Oryctolagus cuniculus: one gene and its partners. The protein of the gene in region 2 purifies or fractionates together with the protein of the main gene of each other region. This does not show direct contact. Links are inferred from orthologs where the notes say so. Each region holds a gene or a part of one and is shown on either strand. Other genes may lie near its edges.

The links.
Region 1: the proteins of ESYT1 (region 2) and SYNJ2BP purify together in Homo sapiens (affinity purification with mass spectrometry; 4 studies listed by BioGRID and IntAct, with this or other methods). This does not show direct contact. The link is inferred for Oryctolagus cuniculus from reciprocal best matches to the Homo sapiens genes ESYT1 and SYNJ2BP.
Region 3: the proteins of ESYT1 (region 2) and ATL3 purify together in Homo sapiens (affinity purification with mass spectrometry; 3 studies listed by BioGRID and IntAct, with this or other methods). This does not show direct contact. The link is inferred for Oryctolagus cuniculus from reciprocal best matches to the Homo sapiens genes ESYT1 and ATL3.

Annotation. Positions count from the first base shown.
Region 1 is NC_091451.1:16,186,336-16,190,761, forward strand, and holds the start of SYNJ2BP (synaptojanin-2-binding protein), read right to left. Parts: upstream 2,928-4,426; 5' UTR 2,805-2,927; coding exon 2,741-2,804; intron 1-2,740. UniProt on the Homo sapiens protein: Regulates endocytosis of activin type 2 receptor kinases through the Ral/RALBP1-dependent pathway and may be involved in suppression of activin-induced signal transduction.
Region 2 is NC_091442.1:58,936,532-58,940,177, reverse strand, and holds part of ESYT1 (extended synaptotagmin-1), read right to left. Parts: intron 3,175-3,646; exon of another isoform or gene 2,936-3,174; intron 2,644-2,935; coding exon 2,494-2,643; intron 2,171-2,493; coding exon 2,015-2,170; intron 1,921-2,014; coding exon 1,744-1,920; intron 1,601-1,743; coding exon 1,518-1,600; intron 1,425-1,517; coding exon 1,376-1,424; intron 1,285-1,375; coding exon 1,195-1,284; intron 1,075-1,194; coding exon 979-1,074; intron 724-978; coding exon 652-723; intron 566-651; coding exon 479-565; intron 1-478. UniProt on the Homo sapiens protein: Binds calcium (via the C2 domains) and translocates to sites of contact between the endoplasmic reticulum and the cell membrane in response to increased cytosolic calcium levels.
Region 3 is NC_091432.1:7,549,388-7,553,033, forward strand, and holds part of ATL3 (atlastin-3), read left to right. Parts: intron 1-427; coding exon 428-499; intron 500-2,428; coding exon 2,429-2,860; intron 2,861-3,646. UniProt on the Homo sapiens protein: Atlastin-3 (ATL3) is a membrane-anchored GTPase that mediates the GTP-dependent fusion of endoplasmic reticulum (ER) membranes, maintaining the continuous ER network. It facilitates the formation of three-way junctions where ER tubules intersect.

The DNA of each region.
Region 1 (4,426 bases), on a different chromosome or scaffold from region 2:
TTGGAAAAAAGAGGAGCTCCTAGCCCAAGTCTCTCCTTCCACAGTTGAGAAAGTAGTTACAGATGAGATGGCAAGCTACATGCCAAATTTCCTTGTGCCATCTCAGACACTCATTTCATTGTTCTAATTTTCCTTGTAGTAAGGAGGATTAGATGGAACAGATTAATTTGCCTTGCAAAATGGGCATAAACAGTGGAAATATCCCAGATCACTGGCACAAAAGCAGAGCAGTACACACTTTCTTGTAGTTACCTTCATTAAATGATGAGGTCTTAGGGTAGGAAGCTGTATAAAGACAAATAACCATGCTGCTCACTGTAAAAAATGTATACGTAGTTAGAGACTTTTCATATTCTTCCTATAGAAAGAAAGATCCCGATGGAATTACAAAAATTACATAGAGGACTCTAACGATGATTATTGACTTCTTCGTGGTTTATCTTCATGACAACACTATGAAGAAAAGCTGAATTAGATCTGAGACCAAGAGTATCACATACCAGTATACCAATTCTAGAAATAAATAGGAACTTGAAACCTTTCCTTGCTAATAGAACAAACCAAATTGCAAATAACTGTTTTTATCCATATTCAATCCTAAAGTTGTGGTTTGACCCTCCTCATAAGTTCCCTGGCTCTGTGACTAAGACATGAAAATGTTTAGGAAAATTCAAGAAACCACCCTGTGGATAAACTCACATACAATACAAAAACTAATCCACTTTTGGTTGCAATATATTAGCTAGATAGAATTTCTTTTAATTAATCCCATGAAGTTTGCCCTAACTCCAATGCTTCTGAAAAATACAAACACTAGGAACTTTATATCTGCAAGACAAACAGACTCAGAAGTTGTGGTGAATGGTGAACTAAATATTAGGCAACACTGCTTTGCAAATGCCAAAAATGATTTAGTGATATTATACTGAATTTAAATTATTTAGTGCCCAGAATAAGATTCTGCTCAGCTCTAGTTGGGAGATTCTAGAAATGATGCAGATGTCACTGCCAAGTACATTAAATTCTTAAGCAAGAATCAAGAACCCAAACTCAAATATCACAAAAAGTAATGTTACAACAAGATATTTAGGCTAAAGGAAGACCAGGCAAAGTAGAAGCAAGGGAAAATAAGTGCAGGGCAATCAGAAAAGGAACTAGCACAGTTTTAATTAGCCTTATATGAAAAACAATTACCAGTGGCAGAAAGGTACAGAAAAACAGATTCTGGTTGAAAACTAGCTTTCCATATTAGCTTTAAAGTCGGTAAGTATTGAGTAAGAGAAATAAAAAAATTTTATAAAATAGGAAGAAAGAATCCAAGGGGCTTAGTTACTCTGCTTAATTATATTTCCATAAGACCAGCTTCCAATTTTATATAACAAAAAGAAAGACACAAAATATAGGTAGTTCTGCAAGTCATATTTTATAAAGGATAATCTGTCAGTGGTGATTAAGCTACTGCAAAATTCCAGATGAGAAAAGTGATTAACTATTATAGATAGTGGCACTGGGAACAGAAAAAAGGATTTTAGAAACATTTTTAGATGGAGCACATGGGGCTTATGATTTCTACAGGGTCTTTTTCAATAACATTTACCATGCAAATCTAGCCATTCACCCAATAAAAATAACAGTAGTAGCAAATACATACTGCTTACTGTGTGTCAGACAATGCTCTAATTATTTTACAAATATATTTAGATGTTTTATCAATTAATTAATTTCATTCTCAAAAACTATATATTGTATTCTATAATCACCTCCAATTAACAGATGAGCAACTAAGGCACCAATGTCACTCAGTGGAAAAAAATACACCAAAGAACCAGTAAGCGGTTAGATAACAAGCTTTGTGCCTAGATAGTACAATTCCATGGTTAAAGCTCTTAATAAACTCAACAACTGCTAAAAAAAAAAAAGCCAACCAAGTCCAAGGCAGGCAGTGAGTAGCAATGTCAACAGCTCAGTCTAGGGAAGGAATATCTGGGGGAGGGGGGAGTACAGAAGGTGTAAGGATCTGACTGTATCAGAATCATGTAAGTTGTTAAAAACAAATTCGTATTGAATCCAAATCTCTAGAAATGAGAACTAGAAATCAGCATTCTAATTTTATACTAGCATAAAAAAGCAAAAACAAAAACAAAGCCTGGATAGTTTTGTAGCAGAACCAAGTTTGGAAACTCCTGTAACAGATCTCTAAAGCGTCTTCCTGCTTTAACAGTCTAGTTGACACTATATACTAATTTCTCAGAAATGAGGAAGGAATCCTGGCACCAGAACATCTGTGCATTTATTTAGAGTTCACATTGTTTTTTTTTGTTTTTTTAAGAATCGTTTTATTTAATAAATACAAATTCCATAGGTACAGCTTTTTGAATATAGCGGTCACATAGTTTACGTTCCCAATTTGGCTAAACGATCCTCCAAGGAACAAGGAGAGACCAGGTAATAGAAGGAAGAGTGTGTCCACGGAATGCTGGCTAAACAGCGGGTTTTATTCTAGGCTTCTCTAGCACCATGAGCAAAAAGAAATCTTTCCAGATTAGAAATACGTGTTGTAATCCGACCCGTCATCTAGCCAATGATGGATATCAATATATTCTTTCAACATTCCTAACCTCCTACGTTGGGGCCTGCCTACTCTGAGGCCAGGTGAATCCGGCGCAACAAAAAGAGGGTCTGCTCTGCAAAGGCACACCTCAAGTCCCCTACTCCCAAAGACAGCCCGCTCCGCACATACCTGAGGGTCCTCTAGTAAGATTGATTTCTTCCTCGGTGATTAAGTAATCCACTCTTCCGTTCATGTTTTACCGCTCCTATTCGGTTCAGCTGGGGCTCTGCCCAGGTGAAGGTGAATCAATCTCCGCGCTGCGGTCTAAGAACAGCACTTCCGGTTCGCGCAGCCTCCGGGCCGGAAGAGGAAGTGCGCCGCGCTCAGAGCGCTCGGAATGCTGGGAGTCGTGGTTCTCACAGCCGATCGGTTGTGTTCTCTCGTTGAGTGTTCCGAGAAAACTGTGAGGTCAGCAAGCCGCAAGTTATTGACCGGCGAAAGTACTTGGGAAAAGTAAGGTTGGGGTGGAGGGAGGCTAGTTAAGGTAGTGGACGTAAAGAAATTGATATTGCTGAGGAAAAATCTAAAAGGAATCTTGGCATCTCAAAATTTCCACAAATATAGAAAAGAAAATTTTGTTATTCTGTGAGCATCAAACTAGACTGGGATGGACGTTACAGGCAATCCATTGATGAGATTGCCAAAATGAAAAATCTCGTATAAGCCAAGTAGGTACAAACCATAACATGCTTGTCCTTACATAGAGGACTTGACAACACCATTTGTTATCCACTCTCTGATGGTTCACCTTTGGGGTGGCCTTCTGTGTTAGTTAATACAGGTTAGCAAAGGAAAAGTAATACTTTGCTCTCTGTATGACAAGCTGTTGCGTAAAGATTAGTGTAAACCACTTGGGTTAACTTCCATAGTAAGAGGAGATAGGAGCACTGTTTTCCCTGATATTAACATTGGGAAGAGATGGTTCCCAGGACCTTAAGTAAAAGATTCCTGGATTGTTGCTGACAAAAGCCTTATTTAATTTTAAGAAATTTAAGGGGCTGGTGCTGTGTCCTGATGGGTAAAGTGGCCGCCTGCAGTGTCCTCATTCTATATGGGCATTACTTCAAGTTCCAGCTCTCTGGTGTGGCCTGGGAAAGCAGTACCCAGTGGTACTGCACCTGTGTGGGAGACCTGGAAGAAGCTACTGGCTCCAGGCTTTGGATTGGCCCAGCTCTGGCTGTTGTGGACATTTGGGCAGTGAACCAGCGGATGGAAGACCTCTCACTCTCTCTGTGTAACTCTGCCTTTCAAATAAATAAATCTTTTATTTTTTAAAAGGAAGATATATATATATATACATAAACATTCAAATTTAAGGAATAGAGAGTGGGGCAAAGTCTACAAATTGATGCTACTGGGAAAAATAGGCTAAGGATGGAAGATTAGAGCAGTGATACACACTTAATTCTATATGTATTAGGCTAAGATGGAAGTGTACTTCATTCACAGTAAAGAACTAGAGATGGATGGTCAAAGGCTAATAGAGGAGCTCCTCAGTCACCAAGGAATCAGATTCCTTTCATCTTTCTATAACCCCTTCAGTTCTCATCCTTAGAGTGTGGCCTTTACTTCATGGCCCAAGATGGTTACGATGGTTTTTGGAACTTCAGCCTTCATATTCACATTTCAAGAAGGGAATGAAATGGCAAAGAGAACCTATTGGAAGTTTCATATATTTCTTGTATCTCCTTGAATAGAAGCCTATTACATGATTATATTTAACTATGAGAGAGACATAGAATATGCCATGTTTTAGTGGGATGGAAATGTGCTAACTAAAAAAAAATTAGGGTTGTTATTATTAACTAAAAATGG
Region 2 (3,646 bases):
TATCACTGTCTGTAACTCTACCTCTCAAATAAATAAATAAATAAAAATCCAAACAAACAAACAAGCAAAAAACATGGAGGAACCAGCACCCAAATTGGAACTCAGATTTAGAATGTGAGTATCACAAGCAGTGGCTTTAACCCACTGCACCACCACACTAGTCCATTCTGTTCCTAGACTGAAGTTTTTCTGTCCTTCTCTTCTTGGTCAGAGCCTACTGGCTTTAAAGTCCAGAGAGCACCCAAGGATGCCTTTCTTACTACTTCCAGGTTTCTAAGGTCTGTTAGACCCTTTCCTTTGCTGCCACAGTGCCTTTCACTGTATCTGTCGTTCTGAGAGTGATCTCTGGTTACCTTCCTCCCAAAACACAGTGTGAGCTCCCTAGAGCTGAGTGCCGGTCTTCTCTCCCGATGCCCCGTGTCTGGTTCAGGGCCTTGCCCACGGCAGGGATAGAGGACGTACTTGGAAAGGGGGGTACCTGCAACTCCAGGCTCTCGGCATGTGGCTTCTTGATGAGGAAGGAGGCAGTCTCGTCCCAAACAGGAGCTGCAGTCTGGGCCACGGTCTGGTGGGAAGGGGTTAGGATCAGCGGTGGGTACTCTCCCCCTTCTTCCCTAGCCTTCCCACTCGCCCTGCAGCATCCCCTGCTACCTTGGTTTTATGAGAAACGTCTCCCACAGTGAGGGTAGCATAAGGGCTGGGAGGCTTCGTCCCTTTTCGGAGCTGGGAAAGGAACATGGTGTTAGTCGTCAAACTTGGACCTTGCTAGGCGGATCTCCCTTCACAAATGGCCACGGCCCCATCATCACTGGATAGCCACTCCTCTTGTGGCCTTGGACAGACAATTCTTCCCACACCAGCTCCACCTCCACCTCAGAAAGAGAGGGGCTGTGTACTATTCCAAACCCACCAGGAGCTCCCAAACCCAAGGGAGGTAGAAGAAGGGCCAGGGAGATGTGGGCCTGGGGAAGATCTCACCGGCAGGTCCTCCGCCCGCTCCAGGTACACAGACAGCAGGGCTGCTGCCAGCTCGCCGCTCTTCTGAGTCTGTATCAAGCTGTTCACCTGCAACACCTGGGCAGGACACGGCGGGAGGCTGGGGAGTGGGGCCTGGTGTGTGCCTCGAGCTGAGTGAGGAGCTCACCCTGGCCCACTTCGGCTCCCTCTCTTCCTCCCTCCAGTCTCCTTCCTCACCTCCTCCAACTCAGCAGCAGTGGGGCGGGGGGTGAGACGCTCCAGGCGCAAGTGCAGGCGGCCGGACGGGACGTCCTCCAGGGTCAGCCACTGTGGAAGTGGGCAGGTGAAGGTTCGGGGTGTGGGACAGGGGAGCTAGGAGCAAGAGGCCTGGATGGACATCAGAGGAATAGCTGCTCACCTCGTCAAGGAAGCCAGTGTTGAGGACTGTGGTGAGACTCACTTTACACCTGCAGAGGAAAATCAGTTACAACAGAACCAAACGTTTCTCTCCCCAAGGCCAGCGGCCTCCATGGCCTCCGCAGGCCTGCCCGTCTTCTCACCTGCCCAGGAAGTCATCCTTGTCCAAGTCCTTGTCAAAGACCTCAACGTCTAGCTCTTGGCCTGGAATCGATGTGACAATCACCTAGTGGGAGGAAAAGGGGCATCTTGCCTTCTCTCCCAGTGACCAGACCCCCAGTTCATGGAACCCCACAGGTGTTTGGACCACTTGTGAAACTGGGGGAAAATGGGCCGACCTGAGAGGAGTGCCAGCCCCTGAATTCAGACCTCAAAAACTTCATTCCAGCGGGGATTGAGATCTTCCCGAACGACACGGCTCCGGAAGCTTCGGCCCGCCAGCTTTAGTTTGACGTAGGGATCAGACTTGCCCTTCACCAGTCCTCCCAAGAAACGGTCTTTGGGGATCAGGTCCTGGGCCTCCAACACGTGGATCCGAAGCACATTCTGTGAAAGGGACAGATGGGGCACCAGATGGTGGTCAGAGGGAGAGAGAGACCTCAGGACCATGAACCAGGCCCGGTCCATTCCAGATACTCACCTCCGTCCCAAAGTGACTGTCGGGAGTAGTGTGGCAGGGCCGAGTGGGGGTGTCCACACTGCTGCCTGTCTGGGGGCTCTCACTGTCTGCATCCTGAGAGCCAGGAGCGCCAGGCCCAGCGGGGAAGCAGATTTGTGATGAATCCAAGTATAAGATCTGGGAAGGGTAGTGCGGTCTTGGAATCAAAGGAATGCAGCTAGCCACTAGCAGGCAGGGCGGGCGGGGCTGGGAGCAGAGCAGAGGCTCTGACAGGGAAGCCAGGCCCTTGCCTTGGCCAGACTCTCGAAGGTTCCCTCACACCCGCCCTGACTCACTCACATTCCTTCCTGCAGTCAGACGAGTGAACACTGTCGCATGTCTGTTAGGTGCTTCTACACACACTAGCTCATTTCACCTTGGAGGGCTGTCCCTCCTTCCAGTTAATCCCAAGGAACCCAAGGGGCCTTTCCCCCACCCTCACTGTATCTGCATTTCCATACCCTCATGACCAGTTTCATGTAGATCCTGGAGTTCAGGCCAGAGCCACTGAGCTGGAACCACTGGTCCAGCGTGAGTTCAGGGGCAGTCAGTAGGCGAGCCAGAGGCAGGGTCAGTGCCCCTAAAGTCAGGGCCCTGGAGTCATCCTTGACCTATAGGCACAGGAGGAAAGAGAGGCATGGTGGGGAAGTGGTAACCTGGCTCCTGCTCCGTCCCTCTCCATCACACAGGTGCTCTACTTGCTCTGGTCTGTTGACAGTCCTCTGCCCACTCCATGGTCCCCTCCACCTTCTCTCATTCTGTTCCCATACTTGAAAAGTTTGTCTCTTCCTACTTAAAGCCTACTTATGGGGCTGGTGCTGCGGTGTAGTGGGTAAAGCCACCACCTACAGTGCCAGTATCCCATATGGGTGCCGGGTTGAATCCTGGCTGCTCCATTTCCAGTTCAGCTCCCTGCTAATGTACCTGGGAAGGCAGCGGAAGATGGCCTTAGTCCTTGTTGCCCTGCATCCATGTGGAAGACCCAGAAGAAGCTCCAGGCTCCAGGCACCTGGCTTCGGATCAGCTCAGCTCCAACTAACCATTGTGGCCATTTGGGGAGTGAACCAGCAGATGGAAGACCTTACTCTCTCTTTCTGCCTCTCTGACTTCCAAATAAATAAATTAAAAAAAAAAAAAAAAAAGCCTACTTATTCCTGGGGCTGGTATTGTGGTCCACTGGGTTATGCTTTCTGCTTGCAGTATCAGTATATCAAGTGCCAGTTCAAGCCCCAGCTATTCCACTCTAATCCAGCTTAGTGGATGTGGCCCTATGGGTTTGGGCCCCTATAGCTCAAGTGGGAGACCCAAATGGGTTCCAGGCTCCTGGCTTCAGCCTGGCCCAGCCTTGTGGCAGGCATCTGGGGAGTGAACCAGTGGATGGAAGATCTTTCTCCCTGATGTTCTGCCTTTCAAATAGATAATTAAATAAATCCTTTAAAAATAGCTCAATCTAAAAAAAAGTCCTATTTACCCTTCTAGGCCCAGTTACAATCTGACTTCTTTTACCAAATCCACTTCTCCAGCCTGTGCACCTTCTGTGCTGTACTAGTTACCTGACTCGCACTGATCAAGATGTAACTGTTCGATGATGATTTTTAACAATTTTTAAATGTT
Region 3 (3,646 bases), on a different chromosome or scaffold from region 2:
GCACACTCATTGCCAAATGTCAGTTCCTTTAGTAGCAAAGCATTTTCACACAGGAGACGAGTGCCTGGGACTCACATTTCAAAGACGAAAATGTTCCTTTTTTTTTTTTTTTTTTTTTTTTTTTTTGATTCACAGCTATTTCTTACATTTAAAACCAGAGACAAGGAAATGCTATTTCCCTAGATTTTTAGAGGTTTATCCTGTGTTAACGAGTCTTACATATTAAAGAACAGATTTTAATTTGGTTGAAAATCTGGCAGAAAAGATATATTTTGTTTCATAAATTGAGCTATGTGAAAGTCTAAAAAGTAGCAGAAGGTTAACGAGAAAGGAAGAATGGAAGTGGGGTGAGAGATTTGTACTTGGGTATTTGTGGAGCATGTTCAAAGAGGAAGGGTTTATAGCTCACGCCTTCCTTTCCTAACAGGCCACTGCTGAAGCCAACAACTTAGCGGCGGCAGCCGCTGCCAAGGACGTGTATTACAACAACATGGAAGAGGTATGTGGGCAGGTGCCTGATCCTGAGGTGTCGCGATACCTGACCATGCGGCTGTCTTCCGAGGCCCAAACTTGATCTGACTTGACACTGCAGGGGGGCTGGTATTGTGGCACAGCGGGTTAAACCATCACTTGTGATGCCTGTTCGAGTCCAAGCTGCTTGGCTTCCAATCCAGCTGCTTGCTAATGCACCCAGGAAAGCAGCGGAAGATGCCCCAAGTACTTGGGCGCCTGCACCCACATGGGAGACCTGGATGGAGTTCTGGGTTCCTGGCTTTGGCCTTGCCCCAGCCCTGGCTCTTGCATTCATCTGGGGGAGTGAACCAGCAGATGAAAGAGCACTCTCTCTCTCTCTCTGTCTTTTCTCTCTCTCTAACTCTGCCTGTCAAATAAATAAATAAATAAGTATATATTTTTATTTGACAGGTAGAGTTGCAGACAGAGGGAGAGACAGAGAGAAAGGTCTTCCTTCTGTTGGTTCACCCCCCAAATGGCCGCTATAGCCGGTGTGTTGCACTGATCCGAAGCCAGGAGCCAGGTGCTTCCTCCTGGTCTCCCATACAGGTGCGGGGGCCCAAGCACTTGGGCCATCCTCCACTGCCTTTCCAGGCCACAGCAGAGAGCTGGGCTGGAAGAGGAGCAACCGACACTAGAACCCGGGGCCCATATGGGATGCCGGCGCTGCAGGCGGAGGATTAACCAAGTGAGCCACGGCGCTAAAAAAATAATTTTTTAAAAAAGTTATGAGGCAGCAAAGCTGTATTCAGGCCATTGTGATAACCAGGTCCTTCTGATCACCATTTCGTTTCTTTTTTTTAAAAATATATGTGTTTTACTTATTCTTTTTTATTTAAGGTATACAGGTTACATGTATTTGGTGTACACCAGTTTAGGAGTGTGGTGATGCTTCCCACGCTCCCACCCTTCCTCCTCCTTCCTCTCCTCATCCTCCTCTTTAATTTTTACAGTGATCTACTTTGAGTTTATTTTACACTCATGAGATTAACCCTACACTAAGTAAAGAGTTCAAGAAATAATAATAATTAAAAAAACACTGTTCAGGGCTGTAAACAGTCATCGAAGCTCAAAACGTCGATTTCACTCTTCTGATGGTCATTTCTTTCCGTTTCCGGGCCACGCTGAGCTCCTCACTCTGCTTACCCAAGTGCGCTCTGCAGAGGAGTGAGACCAGACTTCACTGGTCTCCGTCACCTTCTGAGAGTTAACTGACGCTTGCCGCAGCAGCTCAGTTGTGAGTGTGTCACCCACCTTTCCTAGCAGAGTGCTGGCTGGAGTGCTGGCTGCTCTGCTCCCATCCAGCTTCCTGCTGCTGTGCCCCTGGGAGGCAGCAGGTGGATGGCCCGAGTGCCTGGGTCCCTGCCACCCACATGGGAGACCTGGTTGGACAGTTCTGGGCTCCTGGCTTCAGTCTGGCCCAGCCCTGTTTGTCGTGAGCATTTGGGAGTGAACCAGAGAAGAAAGATCTCTCTTTGTCTTTCAAACAAAATGAAAATAAACAGTGAAAAAGTTTTTTTTTTTTTTTTTTTTTAAGATGTATTCATTTATTTGAAAGAGTTACAGAGAGGCAGAGGCAGAGAGAGGAGCTGGGCCGATCCGAAGCCAGGAACCAGGAGCCTCTTCTAGGTCTCCCACGTGGATGCAGGGGCCCAAGTACGTGGGCCACCTTCTACTGCTTTCCCAGGCCACAGCAGAGAGCTGGATGGGAAGTGGAGCAGCTGGGACTTGAACTGGTGCCTAATGGGATGCCGGCACTGCAGGCAGCAGCTTTACCTGCTACGCCACAGTGCCGGCCCCGAAGTGAACACAGTGATAAGAGATTAACGTCTGATACTTAAAGCCTTGTAACCTTTGAGAGTCTTCACCTGTTTTTGAAGGGACCTTCGCCATGCCGTGTCTCTGTTGCCTGCAGGTTTGTGGGGGCGAGAAGCCTTACCTGTCCCCTGACATTCTAGAGGAGAAGCACAGTGAGTTCAGACAGCTCGCTCTGGACCACTTCAGGAAGACCAAGAAGATGGGCGGGAAGGACTTCAGCCTGCGCTACCAGCAGGAGCTGGAGGAGGAGATCGGGGAGCTGTACGGCAGCTTCTGCAGGCACAACAGCAGCAAGAACGTCTTCAGCACCTTCCGCACGCCCGCCGTGCTCTTCGCGGGCATCGTGGCCCTCTACATCGCCTCGGGCCTCACCGGCTTCGTGGGCCTCGAGGTCGTGGCCCAGCTGTTCAACTGCATGGTCGGGCTGCTGCTGATAGCGCTGCTCACCTGGGGCTACATCCGGTACTCCGGCCAGTACCGCGAGCTGGGCGGAGCTATCGATGTGGGTGCGGCCTATGTGTTGGAGCAGGTGAGTGGTGTGGGGTGATGGTGGGCGGCCGGGTCAGCTTCTGTCGTGAAACATCTCGGAGTTTGGTAGCAAAGAGGGCATGAGAAACCTCCCTGGGCCGTTTTTAAACTTCCTTGGCTTTAGTCTGTTATCCTCTTTGGGATAGGAGTAGTTATTCCTGATGTTTTGTTTCCATGACTTAAAGTGGGCCTTTAGTATATAAAAAGTTTCAAATTAGAGTAGGGTGTCCCTCACAGGAAACCTATGGGTGCTTTTTTTTTTTTTTTAAAGATTTATGTATTTATTTGAAAGTCACAGTTACACAGAGAGAAAAGGACAGGCAGAGAGAGAGAGGCCTTCCATCCGCTGGTTCACTCCTCAGATGGCCACTATGGCCAGAGCTGGGCCAGTCTGAAGCCAGGAGCCAGGAGCTTCTTCCAGGTCTCCCACGCAGGTTCAGGGGCCCAAGCACTTGGACCATCTTCCACTGCTTTCCCAGGCCACAGCAGAGAGCTGGATCGGAAGTGGAGCAGCCAGGACTTGAACCGGCACCCAAATGGGATGCAGGCACTGCAGGCAGCGGCTTTACCTGCCACGCTACAGTGCTGGCCCTGTGCGTGCTCTTTAGACACAATTCCTGTGTGATTCGGCCTTCTCCTCTCCATGATCTTGCTTTGCTGAAAATCAAGAGTCCTGAAAAAAATATGAACTCAACAAGAGATGACATCTCCTTCATTTAAAATCTTCCAACAAGTCAGCGGCTCTTTGCAGAGGTCGTCTCCAGCTTTACAGATCTTTGAGACTAGC